4 linked regions of the Caenorhabditis elegans genome follow. The protein of the gene in region 3 purifies or fractionates together with the protein of the main gene of each other region. This does not show direct contact. Each region holds a gene or a part of one and is shown on either strand. Other genes may lie near its edges. The genes, in order: Y76B12C.3, clec-59, F30H5.3 and pas-3.

Region 1 (4,290 bases), on a different chromosome or scaffold from region 3:
AATGAAAATTTCCGGCAAATTGGCAAACCGGCAATTTTCTGAAAATGAAAATTTCCAGCAAATTGGCAAACCGGCAATTAGCCGGAATTGAAAAATTCCTGCAAATCAGAAAACTGGCAATTTGCCGGAAATTAAAATTTCCGGAAAATTGGCAAACCGGCAATTTGCTGAAAATGAAAAATTCCGGCAAATTGGCGAAACCGGCAATTTGCTGAAAATGAAAAATTCCTGCAAACCGGCAAACTGGCAATTAGAAGCCGAAAATGGCTCAGGAGGCGCCTGAGCTCAGGTAATCAATTTCCGGCAAAACTGGAGCCAAGTGGTCCACTATAGCTCTATTTGTAGCTCATAGTCAGTAATAATTCGATTATTTTTAGTTTTCTTCTCATTTTACTTGTTCCTTCTCCCTGTGGGGGAGGATAATGTAATTATGAAATGAAAGGGAGAAGCTTGGAATATTCTAGAAGAGTCGTGATGAAAATCTGAAATTAATGTGAAAAATGAAAATATCGGAACCTTGTTGCTTTTATTAACCAGCCCACTACAGCAAAAAAAATTGGAAAATAATTTAAAAAATACCAGTGAAAACATGGAGAGAGAGAGTCAGGAAAATATGGGGTGAAAATCGAATTTAATAACAAAAAATTATTCGAGCCATTGATTGAAAAAGTCGATGAGCGTATCGGTATCCCATTTCTCAACGCTGAGCACCTCTTTTGTCTTAAAATCGGCATCTTTCAGTGCAACTTGTGGTCGGACACCTCGTACATGCTTAACTTTCACTTTTCCACCGAATTGACGAGCCATATCCTTATGGACGAATGCTGGAATTATTGATTTTTTGGGTGTTGAAAATTTCACTGAAAAATTTAAAAAAAAGTTTTTTTATTTTTCGATTTTCGGTTTTTTTCGAATAAAATCATAAAAATTATTATTGCAAAAATGAAAAAAAGAGAAAGTCGTGTACTCCACACGGAAAATTATTTTTTTGAGCCGCGACGCGACACGCAACGCGCCGTAAATCGACCCCGGCCGAGCCCAAATGGCCTAATGGCTCTATGAAAATATCGGGGTTTTTGATGAAAAATAAAAATAAAAAAAGCTTGAAATTTTTTCGATTTTCGAAATTTTTCCGAGCAAATCGTAAAAAATTAAGACTTTTTCTGTTAAAAATAGTTTTTTACCCTTTTTTCTCTCGATAAACAGGATTTTATGGTTTTTCGGCAAAAAAAAACTCGCTTTTGGTCATTTTTCGCTAATTTTTTAAATTTCAATCGCAAATTTTTCACTTTTATTAGTATTTGAACGTGTAAATCGGGGTATTTATAAGAATTTCTTGTTTTTCACCAAAATTACCCAGAATTTCGCTTTCAAACACTAAAAATAGAGATAAATTAGCATTGAAAACGAAAAATTTCAACAAAAATGGTTCCAAATCTGAAATAGAATTTCCGCCAAAAACTACAAAATCTTCTCCTCGGGGAGTACACGAGCCGCGTAAACCATCGTGTGTGTGTGAAAAGCTAGTTTTTTTAAACATTTTTCAGGGAAAAATAATAATATTTTCGCTTTTTTAAAAACTTTTTTCAAAAAATCGGCAGAAACTTTCTTTTCGAATGAAATAGTTTTATTTTCTAAAAATAGAGAAATTTCAGAAAATTCTTGGAAAAATGATTTTTATCCTCTCGAAAAATAGGGAAACAGAATTTTTCGATTTTCAGAAAAATGAGCTCTAGCACAGCCCCGTGTAGATTTACGCAGCGTGTGTACTCCGCGAGTAGTAGGATTTTATGGTTTTTTTGGCAAAATATCCCTTATTTCGGGCATTTTTTAATGTTCAAATACTAAAAATAAGGATAAATTAGCATTTTTAACGTTGAAAACGAAACATTTTAACAAAAATGGCTCAAAATCAAGAATTTCTGCCAAAAACTACAAAATCTTCTCCTCGGGGAGTACACGAGCCGCGTAAATCATCGACAGTTAGTGTGAAAAGCTAGTTTTTTTCGCTTTTGAGGTATTTTTCGGGCCATATTCTCTTTTTCCAATCAATTTTCACCTTGAACTTGTGGGAATCGAGCCAAATTGCACTCGCAGACTTCCAGAATTGCCGTTGGATATTTCTGAAATTTAAAAAAAATCGATTTTTGGGTGATTTCTAGCGGGAAAAATCGATTTTTTCACAAAAAAATCCCAATTTTAAAGCGTACTTCGTGCTTAAACTCTTCTTCCTTAATACAACACTGAAGACAATCGGTGAGCAGCGTTTCCAGATGATAATCCGATAGTCGTTCGCATAATCCGCACTGAAAATTTACGAAAATTTCAGATTTTTGCCAAGATTTTCAGGAGAAAAACCTTTAAAGTCTCCGGATTGAATCCCGCCGCCTTGCACTCCTCTACATCAATTTTATACTCTTCAACTTCACCGAACATAGGCGAAACCACGGCGGCCAGCAGCAGGAAAATCACCCACATTTTGCTGGAAATTTTTATTTTTTTTTGTTTTGTTTTGGAATAGCAAAAAATCCATGAAAAATGAGTGAAAATCCCCATTAAAATACGTGGAAAATGCTCCAAAATTGGCTCAAATCGACGTCAGCAGTGCAAACACCGCCGGGTACCGCCACACCATATTTGACGACAGTTTTGGGCAAAGTTTGGAGGGAACCCATTCACGGGAGGGAAAATAGGGGAAAAGTACAAGTTTATATAGCTAAAAATCCATATTTTTCGGGGGGAAAATTGGGTAAAAAGCACGAAAATGTCGGAAACTATCGATTTTTCGATTTCTGCGATGAAAATACGGTACTGGGTCTCGACTCGACAGGATTTTTTTTCATTCTAAAAGGTGTGCGCCTTTAAAGAGTACTGTCATTTTAAATATTCGGGGTTTTAATCGATTTTTAATAGTTTTTCGATAAAAATGTATTTGACAACAAATTACAGTACTCTTTAAAGGCGCACACACATGTTTTCCATTTAACAAAAATTTGTCGTGTCGAGACCTGGTACCGTATTTCTGGCGCAAAAACCGAACAACTTCAGAGAGGACAAATTGAATGCATGTTTTAATTTAAATCTAGAAAATTAATTTTCAACAAAAATTGAATAATTATTCCGTGAAATTGCCATTTTGAACTTCGAATTGAACTTAGAATTCAAATTTTTCAAAAAAAAAAAACCGACAACCTGTGAGAAAATAAATTTATTGTTATTTTCTTCTCGGCTAGCGGAAAGACGGCGAGGATAAAATCTGATTTCTTGGAAAAGTCAAAACCGATTCACATAAAGGTAACTTTTTTGCTTCTTTTCTAGGTGGCCTAGGAAAAGCGAAAACTCGGCCAGCGTATGTTTCCGGGAATTTGCCGAAAATTCTCATCAAAAGCCTTTTTCGCAGAATTTTAAAGTTTTTTATAGCTGAGAGAAAGTTTTGATATCTTGAAATTTCTTGATTTAATTTTTTTTCTCCCCAGACACCGATAAGTCTAGGTCTAAGCCCCCCCCCCCTCAGCCTAACCTTAGGCCTGAACCTAAGCCTAAGCATAAAGCCTAAGCCTAAAGTCTAAAGCCTAATCCTAAGCCAAAGTCGAAGCCTAAGCCAGAATCTAAGCCTAAGCCTGTACCTAAGCCTAAGCCTAAAGTTAAGCCTGCCTAACCATAAGCAAAAGCTCGAGGCTAAGCCTAAGCATGAATCTATGTCTAAGCCTAAGGCCACGCATAAGCCTAAGCCTAAAAATCAGCAAAATGTGCTCCCATAGCAATTCTACGGGCCTCCACAACAATTCTGAGCCATAAATTTCCAGATTCAAAAATGGAAGCACACCGCGCCGAGCAACCACAGTGCACGAAATCGGGTAAAGTAATTCTAAAGCCTGGATATGATATGACAGACGGACTGAGTGAGATTGATGACTGGGCTCCGGAAAAGAAAAAACGGGCGAAAAAAGTGCCCTCTAAGCCACGTGAAGGGCCCAAGTTGATCGACGAATTTGAGGAAAAGGAATCGGAGAAAGAGGCGGCGGAAAAGGAGAAGGAAAAAGAGAAGGAAAAAGAGAAAACCCATGAGAAAAACGAGGCGGATAAGGAGGAAAAAGAGGCAGAAAAGGAAGAGGAAAAGGAGGAAAAACCACCGAAGGAAGTCACTGAGGAGAAGGAAAAAGAGAAGGAAAGAGAGAAGACTAAGACGAAGGATGAACTCGAAGAGGTCTGATTTATTGATTTTTATATGGAAAAATCAAATGAAAATCGATAATTGCAAAGCTGCCACATGGTGTAAGGTTGTCCCAT
Region 2 (3,847 bases), on a different chromosome or scaffold from region 3:
CACAATTGTTGCATCAAGAAAAACTACAGTAACTTCTTTCATGAACTGGGAATTATTATGTATTTACAAACTTCCACCAACCATACTCCACGTTATCAGTATCAAAATCTTCGAGACATTAAAAATGTTACAGCAAGCCGATCTTAACCAATACCAATCACTCGATGACGTCTACGATAATGTTTTCCGTGCTCTTTCGTCAGTCAGCACTTCCGAAGAGTCATATCTAGCAAATGGGCTTGCAAGAGCAGAAGATGTACTTGAAGCCGGCAAACAAGGGTACAACCGTACTCATTATCAGAGAGTTGTGATTGTCTATGCATCAGCTTACAAGTATGTTCTTTAGACAGTTTGTGCAACCATTTATTGCTTGTCTTTAGGGGATCCGGAGCCTTGGACCCAGTGCCAGTTGCTGAAAGACTGAAAACTTCTGGAGTGACTGTTATTACTGTGGCATATGATCAAGACGGAGACGGTGCTCTTCTTGCAGATCTGGCAAAGATTGCATCTCCACCATACAACTTCACGAATACCGAAGACAACGGGCAAGTTATTGGAGAGATTCAGGATGCTTTGCTGCAAGGTTTGTTAAAGGAACTTATATTATATAGCAATACAAACTATTTTCAGTGAACTGTTTCTGCCGAAACTCGTGGATTCAATACCGTGTATCTTACACTGATGTTCACTCCTACCGCTACGGTGTCTGCATTCTTCCAGTCGGTTTCAATGCGGTATGGCGCGCTGCCAAATCTTCATGCATGAACCGAAATGCATATCTTGTCACTGAATTCGATTCGAACAAACACGATTATGTCCTGACTGCAGTGAGCAATTACACAGGATTCAGTGTACCTCTAACTTATCACAACGGACTCAGTATGGTCAAAGGTGTCTGGGTATGGGATCAACCACAAGGAATGCCTCAACCACAGCTTCAAAGTTATGCAGGATGGAATCCAGGATATCCCATTTCGGACTCTACTCTCACAGGAGTTCTGAATCAACAATCAAGTGTGCAACTGCAGTCTGGATGGCAGAATATCAAGCCACTGACGACTGGAGCCAATTATGTTTGTGAAACGGCATCTTGCGATACTGATAATTACTGCACCGAAGCTGGACTTGCTGAAATTTCCGTAAAACACTAATATACACGATACATACTTGTTGTTGTATAATAATAAATTCTGATTCTACAGACCGTATTTATTTTATTAGTACTGCTTCTCCCTCTTTGTAATAAAAATTTGGAATCCAGGTGTTTCAAACCAACGAATAAGCGGACTTTTGGTGACTGGATGGCAGAATATTAAACCATTCAATGCAGATGTTTGTGAGACTGCGTCTTGTGATACTGATAATTCAACTCTTAGTTTGTGAAGTTAAATTTCTAACAATCTAGCAAAAACTGAAATAAATTTATTCGGCTTTTCTCAATAAATAATTAACTTTCTTTTTTCTCTTTTCGTTTGCTACAACTTAAAAAATTTTTAGCAACACTGTTCACCAATAATTTTGAAGGAAAAATTACGTTAACCAATTGTTTCACAACAAATGAAATCTCCCGTACTTTTTCAATTAGTACGGCATTTCAAAACATTGCAACTACTTTTCAAAAATAGTAGTACGAAAATAAGTTACCAGTGGTGTTATCAGTTAAATAATTCCTCAATACAACAAAGTTTCATCCGTTGGTTTTTTTTGAAAACAAGAGACAGTAATAAGGTGTGTCTGGGATACTTCAATTCAAACATACACTCTGCATCTTGTGTATTATCATTTTAATGAAACTTCCATGTGTATAAAAGAGAGAATGAATTGAGAAAAATAATCATTCATTTGTTTGCAAAAATGAGTAAAAACATTTGTTTGCTCTTCTTCTTGTTTCATGGTAAGTCTTATTTCAATCAATTACCTGCCAAAATTAGTAACTTTTAGCATACCTTTCTTCGTCCTATACGGATCGCATATGTGGACAAGATTTGAGTAATTTATGGTTGGATGTTGTAGCTGTTGTGGATAACTCTGCTGGAATGACCAAGGGAGGATTGACAAGTGTACGGTAATTCTAATCAAATTATTCTATTGAAAAGAGCATATTTCAGGTCGCTGCAAATATTGCTTCCATATTCAGTAAAAATACACAGATTGGCACTAATCCGACAAGTCCAAAGACTACAAGACTAGCACTAGTGACATACAATGTTGATGCCACAACTGTAAGCGTTTCCCTAAACTGTTGTTCCTCATTAGTATTGTTCCAGGCGGCGGATCTAAACAAGTTCCAATCAATTGATGATATCTATAGTGGAATTAACTCTGCTTTGGCAACAATAAGCTCTTCTGAAGAATCATATCTTGCCAGAGGGCTTTCACAAGCCGAGAAGGTTTTTCAAGCGGGAAAGCATGGATTTAACCGTGCTCATTATCAGAAGGTTGTGATTGTATATGCATCTACATACAAGTGAGTTGCATTTTTTGGAATCCCAACTAAAAACCAAAAAATTTCAGAGGAAGTGGAGACTTGAATCCAGTTCCAGTTGCTCAACGCTTGAAAACCTCTGGAGTTACAATTATCACCGTGGCATATGATCAAAATAAAGACGGAGACATTCTTGTTGATCTCGAGAAAATTGCAACTCCTTATCACAATCTCTCGAATGAAAATTTGAATGTTATCGGAGAAATTCAAGGATTTTTACTTCAAGGTATCTCAAACTGAGTTGATTTTATAAAGAAATAACACGTATTGTTCAGCAAATTGCTTCTGTCCAACTTCTTGGATTCAATACCGTGCTTTGCATGATGACGTGGATTCTTACCGTTACGGAATCTGCATTCTTCCAGTTGGATTGACTGCCGTCTGGCGTGCTGCTCAATTATCATGCCGTAATAGATGGAGAAATTCATATCTTCTCAATGAATATGACAACAGGAAACACAATTTTGTTATATCATCTGTCAAAAACTTCTCTGGTTTCCATTTTCCATTAAGCTATCACATCGGACTGAACAAGGTCAATGGAATGTGGCAGTGGGATCAGCCACAAGATTGGACACAACCACAACTTCAGAACTATGAAATCTGGAATTCAGGATATCCAATATCTGATTCCTCGTTGACAACTGTTTTGAATCGACAGACAACTGTTGATTTGGAAATTGGATGGCAAAACGTTCATCAATTCGCAGCTGCCTCCAACTATGTATGTGAAACTGCTGCTTGTGACACTAATAACTACTGTTCCTCTGGAGGTGATTCCATTTCAAACCATTAGTTTTATATGTAATTTATTATTATTAATGTTGATTTTCTTCATACTATGTACAATTGTTGTCAAACAAATAAATTCAATTCTTTGATTGCTTTTAATTTAATGAATAAAATTGTGAGACAAACTTTAACGATCTTTCAGTTATACTGATTAATTTATTGATTAGGAATTAGAAAGGACAACAATAAAAAACACGGGAAATTTTGCTTTAAGCGGAAAATTACAAAATATTGAACAAGATAAAAGGTAAGAAAAAATAAATAAATGACCGGCAAATGAAAAGTACAGAAAACAAATTGGCACTTGGAGAGTTGTAAGAGTTAATGAGAAATTATTGAAACTTAGAAGTATGAGTAGACTTCTTCTTGATTTCCTTGGCGAGCTTTGGGTTGTAGAATGGATTGGCAACGAGTTTCATAGTTGTCTTGGAAGCAACATATTCTGGATCAAAGAATGGGTTTGGAATGAGATGGGCTGGAGCAGGAGATGTTGAAGCTGATTGTCCAGTTGAAGTGTCTCCACTGCAGAATCCGGAGTCCATTCCAGTGTCACTGAAGCAGGCATCATCG
Region 3 (7,748 bases):
TCTTATTTCAGAACCACAATGCCCATGGTATGCTCCGTGCGCTGCTCAACGAAGGCGATAGATTCTGTTACTCTTTCCCCAGTTGTCTTTTTTAATTCTCCCGAGGTATACACCTTGTCTCGTTACGGTTATTTTTCTTTTTCTTCTTTCCCCCGTCTCTTTGTTGCTCCGGAGATGTTCTATAACAAAAATTCTAAATAAAGAAACTCTCAATTTAATCCACTGCAATTCCAATTCAACTCCCCCCGCCTTCCTAAAAACAGTCGTTAGCCACCCAAAACAAACAGTCGGAACAAAAAAAGCGGCGCACCGGTGCTGCGCGTGTTTTTCATCAGGTCATGATTTGCTCGCGGAGAGAGGTGAGACCGGCGAAAAAGTTCACTCTTTTTGGAGTTCCGCGCCGCGCGTGATCTTATCATTGTGAGCGCGCGCGAGAGCCCCGATTAGAAGAGAAGCGGTGTTGGTTTGTACAATATTTGAACCAGCGCCGCCGCCACCAACATTAAACATACAGTAAAACATACATATGTTTGGTGCGAAGATCAGTTTCTCTTGACGTACACTTTATAATGAGATAGGATGGATGCCCGCGCGGATCAGAGGAAACTGGGCCAAGTATGCTACACAAAAATACACTAAACCTCGGGTGTTAAGGATGTCAGAAAGTGTTTCTGTGCAGTAGCGGGCTGAAATCACAGGATCATCCTGCTGGATACTCAAGAAGACGGTTACTTTCAAAATTTTTGCGAATTGCAAAAAACCATTTTCGAAGCGGTGATTTTTCACGAAAATCAGTTTCGCAAATCCTAAGGTATTCGTGGAAATTTTTTGTAGAAATTAAAAAAAAAGAAACTTATGATGTCAGCTCATAATTCAAGTTCGGAATCAGCTCATAATTCAAGTTTCACGAAAACCAAAAAGCTCAGTGATCTTTTTCGAGAATCTTACCCCTTAAAATTTTTACCGATTTTTCTGAATTTCAAACGTACTTAGTCTTGCGCTGTTCCACTCCACTTTGACTTTTCATACCTTTGGTAATCTTCACGCTACGTGGCAACAGTATGAAAAACAGAGACTTCTCATGAAGACGAAGAAATTGTGAAATGAATGAAAATTTAAACTAGTGTTCAATATGGCCCATGGTACTAATGAGTAAGGCTACACGTCATATCCAAAAAAATATCGTGAACTGATAAGTTATCAAACTATAGAAGACGATATAACGAATATCTTGGCAGTTGACAATTCTTGAGAAATCCAATGACAACATAGATGTAGGTTGTCAACATTGGAAATATCTAGCATTTTTTATAGAGCTAGTACAAGTTTAGTTGAACACAGATTTTTCATATATTATGCATACATATCGCACATGTTTCTGGGGACTTTTACTAATTTATCTTATCAGATGTGTTTTTTAACCCGCTATTCAAAGAAAATTAGAGAATGCGAGTATGACTACTGAGAGTGTGAAAACCGAAGCTCAATGATATCATACAAAATTCCGAAATGCCGATCATAAGCCCCTATCATGCTCCGTATACAATGTACCAGGCTCAATTACGATGTTGCTCTCTCTCCCCTCCCCACCGCTCTCAACATGTAAATCGCATTACACGAGTGACCCGAACTGTATTCTCGAACGAGAATCTTGCGAAACCGCGGGTAAACAACACCAAGAGAAACCCCTCCTCTCTTGGCTCTGCGAGCACACAAATATAGTGACCCCTCCCTCGCTCCCTCCCCTGACCTTGACCAGCAGACTCAGCTCAACACAAAAGCCATTCGATTGCAACTCGTCTTGGATTCGAACCACCCCGCACCATCATCATCAGAAGGCAATCAAAGAATTATCTGATTATTTTCGTATGATTTTCAATCAATAACAAAAGAGCCATTTCATATATCCAGGTCTCTATCACATTTCCAAATTGCCCTTCTTTATTGTATTCAATTACTCATTTTGAACACTCATTATATAATAATCACAAACATCAATCAATTGATATTCCGCAGCAATGCGTAACTGGTTTATTTTACTCCTGCTTGCAGGTAAGCTTTTTCTTTTTTGCCGGATTTTTTTATGGTTGCTTTGAAAACTTTTGAATCAAATTCTTTAACATAAGCAATACTTTAATTCAAATTTTTAGAGTTTGAATTCTGCTACTTGACACTTGGACTTTTTCTTGCTAGCAATATGAACTTGAAAGTTTTCTTCAAATTTTGATTCAATTTACGAGGGTTAGCACAATACTTAAACTCAGAAATATCAGCATAAAGTTCTTGAAACTATTTTAACATATATATTTTTATAAAAATATAATTTTTGCAAACTTAGTTGTCGGAGAAGAACTTATAAAACTAAGAATGTGTTCCTACAAGTCTAGCCTAAAGAGCTCTAACCCTAAAAATGAGTAGTTTCACCACTGTAGGTTTTTGACCCTTATTTATTATACAAAAAGTATGCTGTGAGTCGGTAGTTTTTATGGAATTTTTTTGAAAATTTGACTTTTACCTCAAAACCCCACTCAAAAACAGCAAGCCATCTCTTTTTTACTCTTGAAAACTTAAAACGTCAAAATTTCTATCACTACCTAAAAATCAAAGCACGATTCTATTCTCAGAATTGTTCAAAATAAATCTAGTCTTTAAATATTCGTTCTAGCCCAAGATTTTGCATTAAACTGGCCTATGCCTTTACGAAATCAGCACTAACATGAATTTTAAAGCTTCCTGGGGGTCTTAGGTGCTTCACAACTGCCAGACCCAGACCATCAAAACACCCATCAGGTCACAAGTCCAATTAAATTCTATTTTTAGAGCACCAGACTAGAGAGTTCAACTTGCATAATACCTTTTTCGTGTTTCTAGTGCTCTCTCTCTCTATCGCCGCGCCGCGTTCCAAAACAAATCCAAGCACATACAATAAAATTGGCAAACATTGTGTGGGGGGTTCTCAGTGTCTGAGATTCGATTCGCCGCAAATATGGCGGCGGCGGCGTGACTGTTGCCCGATTTGGGTTAAAGCGGCCGCGAGCGCAGACGATCGTGCCTTGAGGATTGGGAGCAGGTGGTGACGAATAGTAAAACTTTTTGTTTCAGGAGGCACATATGCAGTCGAGCAGAAGCCGATTTGCAGGATAGGCGATGGTTGTGACACGTCCGGATGTCGGATACCGACTGAAGGTGATAAGTGTGATGAGGAGATGACTATTGATTCCATCTATTGCGATCTTGCCACAAAGTAAGACCACTTTTGAATAAGGAAGCTGTTACTAAACACGACTTTTTCTAATTTCAGCAAGACCGACACTCACGAGAACGCGTTCCTTATCTGCAATCTTGTCAAGAAGGAAATCGAACGAAAGATTTGTCCGAAAGTATAAAATCTATTCCAGTTGTTGAATAATCTTAACAAATTCTCAATTTTTAGAGCCAATTCTTCATTGACGGAAAGTGCCGAACTGGCAATGTTCGGTACAAGCGGCAAGGAGTTGCCGGATCCGGAAGAGTTGGAGATTTTTGCAGCTTCAACACCGATTGCTTGACTGTAAGTGGATTTTGAACTTCTTCGAGATTCTAAAATTCAAATTTCCAGGGAATGTTCTGCTCCACAGGATCTTGCACATGCCTCTCGAACTTCGTCGCCATCCAAGGATACTGCTACCTGAAGAAGAATCCAGGAGAGTCTGGATGTCAGTACGCCGAGCAGTGCTCCGCAGTATGGCCAGAGTCGCGGTGCGAAAAGTCGAGATGCGAGTGCCCGGAGGATGTGAATGGAATTCCATATGTTCAGGCCAAGACCAGGGACGGAGTCGTTTGTGTTCTTCATTCCGGAGAAGACGGAGATCCGGTGCCAAAGTGCCCACTTCCAGAGTGAGTTTTTATTCAGTGGGAGCTATTTTGTGACTTCAAGCTTCAGCCTAAACCTAAGCCTGAACCAAAGCCAAGCCTCATAGTCAGTCTGATACTGAGTCACAACCTAACTAGCTACCTTCTTATCGTTAATTTCCAACTTCTTCTAGATACGACGATGATCTCCTCACAATGCCAGTGTCCCAACTTCGCAACCCTCACATGACCGATCCAGACGATGCTGACATTCAAATGGGCGAGCACATCAACCCACTTCAATTCTGCTCCTCTCAATCCACCGACTATACCACCTTCATCGCCAACGGAGGAGGTGCGTGTGCTTACGCGACCGATGCTAACAACGCTCAGGAAGGAGATGGTATCTATATCGCTGATATCTATGATTGTGTCACCTCCACGACATCAATGGCCAACGTTAAGACTGCAATGGAAGGAGTTTATGACATTCATCCAGCCTCCGATGGTATCTGCTGTCCTAACAGAGCCTTCACCTGCATCCAACCAAAGAGAGAAGCTGATAGTGGAAGTTCGGCGCCAGCAGGAGTCCGTCCAAGATGGTGGTACAACGCTGTCACTGGCACCTGCGAACAATTCATGTGGGACCCATGGGATGAGACCGAGATGCAATCACCAAACAACTTCAAGACTCGTGAGCACTGTGAATCCTATTGTAGAGACACTTGTAAGCGTGGATCCCCACAATACCTCACCGGATCCGCTCAGAATGAGGATGAAGTCGTCAGCAACTGCCAGACGGCCTCTTCCTGCACATCTAACTTCGAGTGCACTTCCATTGGATCCATGCAGCTCTGCTGCCCAACTGTCGCCAGCGTCTGCTCCAACACCGGAGGCCGTCCAGTCGACTTGGTCCGATCCACCAACTTTGACGCCGGTATGTTGATGAAGCGCAGCTTCTCCATGACCTTCTCCACGAGCTCGCGATACTATTACGACGCGGAGCAGGGAAGATGCATCGCGTTCACCTACAACGGAGCACTCGGAAACTACAACAATTTCAAGTCGTCAGCTGATTGCGAGTTGTTCTGCGCCAAATTGCAATGCAAATACGGAACTCCACTCAAGATTGGGTCATCTAATCAGGTATGTGCAGTGTAAATAACACCGGGGGTACCGGAGGTTTCGCGAGTTCGAATTCGTATTTCGAGAAAAATGAAATTTTCAGAGATGCTCCGCCAGTGCCGACTGTCCAAGTACCCACGAGTGCCAGTCAGATCACAATGTCTGCTGTCCAAGACCTCGTAAGTTTTAGAGTTTTAAATTTTTTACTCAGTTTACTCAGTCCTAGGCTAAGATTGCAATACGACCTAGACCTATCATCAGTTCCTCAGCCCACTAAAAACCTCAAAACATTAATTCCAGAAGCCATCTGCTCCCAACCCCTCCGCCTCGGAGACTGCAAGCAATCCGTCCGCCGTTACTGGTACAACGCAGTTACCCGTGCCTGTGAGATCTTCGACTACACCGGCTGCCAAGGAAACGATAACAACTTCGAGACCCTGTTGGAGTGCCAGAACACTTGCGAGAACATTATTCCAGAGCCACAGTGCCCACAAGGAGACGCCTACAAGGATTACCAAGGAAACTACTACGTCTGCTCCAACTCTGGAGCTGGAAACTCTTGCCCAGTCAACTATGAATGCTATTTCGACGGATACGTGTGGGGATGCTGCCCGACCAAGGCCTACACCTGTACCCTTTCCCCACATAAGGGAGTCACCTGCGGATCTGGATCTTCTTACAGATACTATTACAACTCTCAGACCCAAGAATGTGAATCCTACCAGTACAATGGATGTGACGGAAACTCCAACAACTTTGCTACGCGCGAGGATTGTGAAGGATACTGTGGAGTCGGAGGATGTCCAAATGGTGGAACTCCAGAACGCAACGAGTTCGGTCAGCTTATGGTCTGCTCGACCACCCAGGTGTGCCCAGGAACCCACGAGTGTACGTCTGTAAACTCTGGAAGCTCAGTTGTCAACCGTTGTTGCCCAACTCGTGCCTACATCTGCTCTCTTCCACCACAACAAGGATCCTCCTGCAGCTCATCCGCCGCTGCTCGATTCTACTTCAATATTGTCACCAAGGAGTGCACCCAGTTCACCTACAACGGATGCTCCGGAAATCTCAACAATTTCGCCACCCTCGAGCAATGTAACAACTTCTGCCTTTCAGCTGCCTGTACCCCTGGAGATGTAGCCTACGTGAACCCCAACACAAATATGCCATATGAGTGCAATGCAGCTCTATCCAACAGTTGCCCAACCAACTTCGCTTGTACCTACGATCAGCTGTCCTCCAACTCTGTTTGCTGTGGAGCCACCAACATGGATGTCTGCCCAGAAGGCGAGAAGGCTTACGTCAACGCTGCCGATATGGGAGTCCGCGAGTGTCTGATCAATGTGGAGGGATCCTGCCCGAGCAACTATCTCTGCAGATTCAACGCCATGAAGAACAGATACTACTGCTGTGCCTCGATCACAGGAGATCTCTGCCCATCTGGAAAGGCTCTTTACAAGGAACCAAGCTCCAAGGCCCCGATTCGTTGTACCATCAGCAGCAACAACAACCAATGCCCAACCGGGTACACCTGTCAGTCCGATGTTCCAGGCGCTTTCCAAGGATACTGCTGCTCTGGAAACCATCTCTGTCCAAACAAGGCCGAGTTCTACTTGGAAGAATCCTCCCAGATGCCAAGATCCTGCACAGTTGGAGCATTCATCACTTGTCCAAATGGTTACTCCTGTCAATCCACCCAAAACGAGTTCACCACCGGATTCTGTTGTAAGGGAGAGGTCGCTTCTGTCTCTGATGGTTGCCCACCTAATGAGTATGTGTTCATGAAGGACAACCAGATTGCCCCATGTGATCCATTTAACCCACCGAATGCTCCATGTCCAAATGGATACTCCTGCCAATGGTCGTTGGCTAACCAGAGATACCAATGCTGTGGAGCCACACCAATCACCACACCAAAGTCGATCGCTGCTCTCGGATGCCCGAACAACCAGGTCGCATTCCGCGAGAAGGCATCAAATGCTCCAAGAATCTGCACAGCCGCCTCTCAGAACTGCCCAACAGGGTTCTTCTGCCAATTCTCCACCGCTAACAATCAATTCCAATGCTGTGGAATGTCGGGAGGATGTCCAAATGATTCAGTTGCCTTCATCGGAATCACCGGAGAACCACAATCTTGCGCAATTGGTCAGAGCACTTGCCCATCCGGATATTCTTGCCAGAGAGCCATCTCAGGAGCACAACTCTGTTGTACCACAAACGACGAGCCAGTCGGACCAACAACTCCTACCAAGGGCTGCACCGAAAAACAAGTTGAGGTTGAGGGAGCCTGTCTCGATAAGAAATCTCTCGGAGACATCTGCAGTAACCAAGTTCAGTGCCCAACTGGAAGTCTCTGCAAGGAATCTGTGTGCTCTTGTCCAGAAGGACATCACGAACTCAACGGAGTTTGTCTCCCAGACTGTGGACCAAACGAAGTCGAGGTCGCCGGAAAGTGTGTTGCTAAATCCCTTATCGGAGAGGCTTGCGAAGCTGATGAACAGTGCCAAGGTGGATCTTCATGCCTTGACGCTACCTGCACCTGCCCAGAAGGCGAAGAGGCTGTCGAGGATGTTTGCATGAAGAAGATGTCGCGACCAATGTCGACTTGCCCAATTCCAGGACAGATTCCATTCCTCGAGTTGAGAACTAAAGCCGCCAGATTCTGTACTCCATCCCGTCCAAATTGTCCACGTGGATTCAGCTGTCAATTCTCTCAAACCGCTCAACAGAACATCTGCTGTGGAGGTGGGAAGGCGTCAGCAATCGTCGCCGAGAAGAAATCCGGAAAGCCA
Region 4 (3,445 bases), on a different chromosome or scaffold from region 3:
TTCTCTGGTCGAATTTCCTTTACCGCGGCAACTTTTACAATATCGACTGGTTTTTCATTGCTGTGTTTTCCACGCGTACATCCTTTATAATTCATCCATGTACCGAAATCAGTACTTTTCTTATCACAACATGTCCAAATCTTGTATGCATCATGGAAATACGGACCCCCAGGGTGATATGTACAAGCTTCTGAAAAATTAAACTGATTTTTTTTATTTTCCAATTAATCTTACCGTTGTCATTCTCCTTGGGATCGAAAAGGAGACCGCATCCTTTATGATAGCACTGCAGTTTACTTTCGTCAACCATCTAAAAATGCAAAAGCGATTTTTTTTCTGAAGATTTCGGCTTAATAATCCAGTTTTCCCCCAAATGCTCGAGAAAATTCGAGACTCCGCCCATTGCAATGTTGCGGCACACTCCTTCTTTTTTCCAGCACTCTCGCTTGACCAAATAATCAAAGATTTGCACGGACAACAACAAGGTGAATTAAAGAAAGCAAAATTTAAAAATACAAATATTTAATTTTCACCGACGTTTGAGATAGGAATATGGGTGATAAGAAATAAAACCAGACAATAAATTAAACGGGTGGGAGGATGGTTTACAATACAGTCTTGAAAGATTATTTCAAAGGCAATAGATTACTTCTTCTCAGCAGTCTCAGCTTCCTTTTCTTTCTTCTCGTGCTCAGCAATCAGAGCATCGACTTCCTTGGTGGTGAGCTCTTCGAGCACAGTCTTTCCATCACGACGAGTCAAAACAGCCATCTCAACTTTCTCGGAAGCGAGCTTCACATCCAAAGTCTTCCAGAGAACCTTGATAGCCAACTGCTTTGCTTCTTCAAGATTTGGGGATTTGTACTCCTGTTTCAACAAGGTTACGGCAGCCTGGTGGTTGCTTCCGATGCAGGTTGCCTTCCATCCAGTGTAGTTTCCGGAAGGATCAGATTGGTAAAGTTGATATCCGTAGTGCTTATCCCATCCGATATAGAGAAGTGACACTCCGAACGGTCTCTTTCCTCCTGAAAATCATATTAATAGAAATCAAGAGAGAAGTTATCAACAAACCAATCTGCGTGTATCTCTGCTTTTCATTGCAAAGATTCTGGACGAGCTGCTCAACTGGCATTTCCTCTCCGTAACTGTTACGATAGCTGGCAGCCCACCATCTCAAGTGGTTGATGAGGATGTTCGCGTCGGCGGTGATACCAGCGACAGTGCACGAGATGTTGTCCGAAAGACGGTAGACCTTTTCAGTCATGACAGAATCATCCAGCAACTTGTGAACGTTCTTTCTCTCAGCAGCAACGACGATTCCTTCCGATGAGAGAATGCCGAGGCAAGTTCCAGCATGGCTGATAGCCTCCATAGCATATTCGACTTGATACAGTCTTCCCTCCGGAGAGAAGATGGTCGTTCTACTATCGTAACGACGGGCCATTCTCTGAAAATATAAAGATAATCTAGACAAATATGATTTTAAAATATAAACGGCAGAAACCTATAGAAAAATTACATAAAACAAGAAGAATCTCTCAGTCCTCGACAAAAAGGATGACTTGAAAATTTTTTCGCGCATGAGCGCATTTGCATTTTTGTATTTCTCGGCCGTGGCCGAACTTATTTGTTTTCAAGTTGTCAACGTTTATTTTTATTTTTTTATCTAATTTTGTCAAAACATCAATGAAATGGCGTATATTTCTGAAAATGAGCTGAAATTTCTACGACTTCTCGAGCGAACAAAGCGCTTGACAAAAGAGGATATGTCAGCAAACGTTTGGAAAGCAAGTATCACATTTTAAGTTCTGTTTAATTAATTATTTTTCTTATTTCAGGTTTCTGCAGCTACAAAGATTCTCAATAAAATGATTTATACACTTCAAAACGATGAGTGAGTTTTTCAAAATACATTTTTTAATATTTATAGTTTTACTTTTCCAGAACCACAAATGATATTCTCCACGAGTACCGACAGGAAGTCTTGCAACTGAAATTACTCGCTGAAGCTGAAAGCAAGGTTTGTAGATATTTTAGACAAGCAAATTCGATCTTGTAATTTTGCTTTAAAGATACAAATTTTTACATAATTTCTAAACTTAATTTGAATTTGTTTGATTTGTTTCAATTAAAAATTTAATCCTAAAATATTATGCAAATGTTCCGTAGATTTTATGTCCCTCTTTTCAATTTAGATTTAAGTAAAGAAAACAAGTTGAACAGCTTTAAATATTTTGTGAATTTCGCAACTGTTATGAAATTGTCAGTAAGTTTTCCAGTCGTCAGCCGAGGAGCGCCTGAAAGTGATTGAAAAAATTCCACGTGTATTTCCCGATGTCCAAGTAACTGTTGCAGACTCCAAGAATGGTTTTTGAATTATTCAATATTTCATTTTAATGTTTATATTGCAGATAACGAGGCGGAAAGTTACGATTTTGAAAAAGAATCCGCAGCTGGACTCCGAGCTACTCAACGATCCATCTATCGATCAGATCTTCGGAAGCAGTTGCTTTCATCTAATAAACATAGAGCACAAGACACATCTGGTAAAAATTAGTATCCAATGATTGTTCAAAATTCGTCAAATTTTATAGAAGATCAGGAATTCATGAAAAATGAGCTTGTCGAGGAGGAGCTAGCAAATAGTTTGGCCACTATGGCGAGATCATTCAAAACGATGATGTCGGCTGCTGGAGATGTGATTAAAGAAGATACAGAAAGAGCAATATTAATGGCGAAAGAAGTCGATGATAATAAAACAGCTCTCGGGGTAATTTCTTCACTATATAAACTTCAAATAATAGTCTTAAAATTTCCAGATTCAAAGTGAGCGAGTTGAGCGTCACGCCTACAAATGTGGTTATGACTGTTTCAAGGTCATGCTCATTGTTCTGATTTTTATGAGCTTCGTATCAATGGTTCTTATGATGAAAATTTTCAAAAAAGCGAGCACTTAATAGTCGGGACGAATTGCTAGTATTTATGGGTGTAAATATTTCAAATAAAATTATTTAATTATTTGCATTCTTCGAATTTTTTTTCTCGTTGATATTTCCATTGGTCTACAGACCATGTTATACATACTTTTTTTGTTGGTTTTTTTTGGTGTTTTCACAAATTTCAATGCTTTGCTTTTTGGTCTCGGCTTGGTCTTGTGCCAGATTTAGTCTACTTCGGCAAAAACACCACAGATTCTTCTCCTCCGTTAATTATATATATATATATATATATAAGGATTCAGAATGAGCACAACACCTGGAACTCCTCATGGAGTCACTCATAGTCTTATGGAACAAGGATGGTACTGGGCTGATGCTGATAGATCTGCAGTTTCGAAAGCACTTTCTGATCAACCTGATGGATCATTTATTGTGAGAAATGCTAGTACACCTGGAGATTATACACTTTCTGTGAAGTGGGTTTTTCAAAATTAGTATTCAATATT

Evidence for each region.
Region 1: the proteins of F30H5.3 (region 3) and Y76B12C.3 fractionate together in Caenorhabditis elegans (co-fractionation; one large-scale study listed by BioGRID). This does not show direct contact.
Region 2: the proteins of F30H5.3 (region 3) and clec-59 fractionate together in Caenorhabditis elegans (co-fractionation; one large-scale study listed by BioGRID). This does not show direct contact.
Region 4: the proteins of F30H5.3 (region 3) and pas-3 fractionate together in Caenorhabditis elegans (co-fractionation; one large-scale study listed by BioGRID). This does not show direct contact.

Annotation. Positions count from the first base shown.
Region 1 is NC_003282.8:1,971,896-1,976,185, reverse strand, and holds Y76B12C.3 (Selenoprotein F), read right to left. Parts: upstream 2,482-4,290; 5' UTR 2,479-2,481; coding exon 2,359-2,478; intron 2,307-2,358; coding exon 2,211-2,306; intron 2,124-2,210; coding exon 2,060-2,123; intron 825-2,059; coding exon 646-824; 3' UTR 504-645; downstream 1-503. Other genes in the region: Y76B12C.4 (Translation initiation factor IF-2), read left to right, coding at 3,815-4,207.
Region 2 is NC_003280.10:10,477,456-10,481,302, reverse strand, and holds clec-59 (VWFA domain-containing protein), read left to right. Parts: upstream 1-1,854; coding exon 1,855-1,894; intron 1,895-1,941; coding exon 1,942-2,060; intron 2,061-2,108; coding exon 2,109-2,222; intron 2,223-2,267; coding exon 2,268-2,467; intron 2,468-2,514; coding exon 2,515-2,711; intron 2,712-2,760; coding exon 2,761-3,281; 3' UTR 3,282-3,299; downstream 3,300-3,847. Other genes in the region: clec-60 (VWFA domain-containing protein), read left to right, coding at 134-333, 381-583, 631-1,151; ZK666.4 (Pepsin-I3 domain-containing protein), read right to left, coding at 3,610-3,847.
Region 3 is NC_003281.10:506,188-513,935, reverse strand, and holds the start of F30H5.3 (BPTI/Kunitz inhibitor domain-containing protein), read left to right. Parts: upstream 1-1,718; 5' UTR 1,719-2,018; coding exon 2,019-2,052; intron 2,053-2,968; exon of another isoform or gene 2,969-3,060; intron 3,061-3,102; coding exon 3,103-3,244; intron 3,245-3,301; coding exon 3,302-3,380; intron 3,381-3,433; coding exon 3,434-3,550; intron 3,551-3,598; coding exon 3,599-3,876; intron 3,877-4,025; coding exon 4,026-4,977; intron 4,978-5,059; coding exon 5,060-5,135; intron 5,136-5,256; coding exon 5,257-7,748. Other genes in the region: T22F7.3 (BPTI/Kunitz inhibitor domain-containing protein), read left to right, coding at 12-61.
Region 4 is NC_003279.8:5,104,602-5,108,046, forward strand, and holds pas-3 (Proteasome subunit alpha type-4), read right to left. Parts: upstream 1,448-3,445; 5' UTR 1,445-1,447; coding exon 1,072-1,444; intron 1,026-1,071; coding exon 646-1,025; 3' UTR 509-645; downstream 1-508. Other genes in the region: chp-1 (Cysteine and histidine-rich domain-containing protein 1), read right to left, coding at 1-190, 235-310; use-1 (Vesicle transport protein USE1), read left to right, coding at 1,692-1,787, 1,839-1,894, 1,945-2,020, 2,280-2,367, 2,412-2,546, 2,595-2,770, 2,820-2,957; aap-1 (SH2 domain-containing protein), read left to right, coding at 3,243-3,415.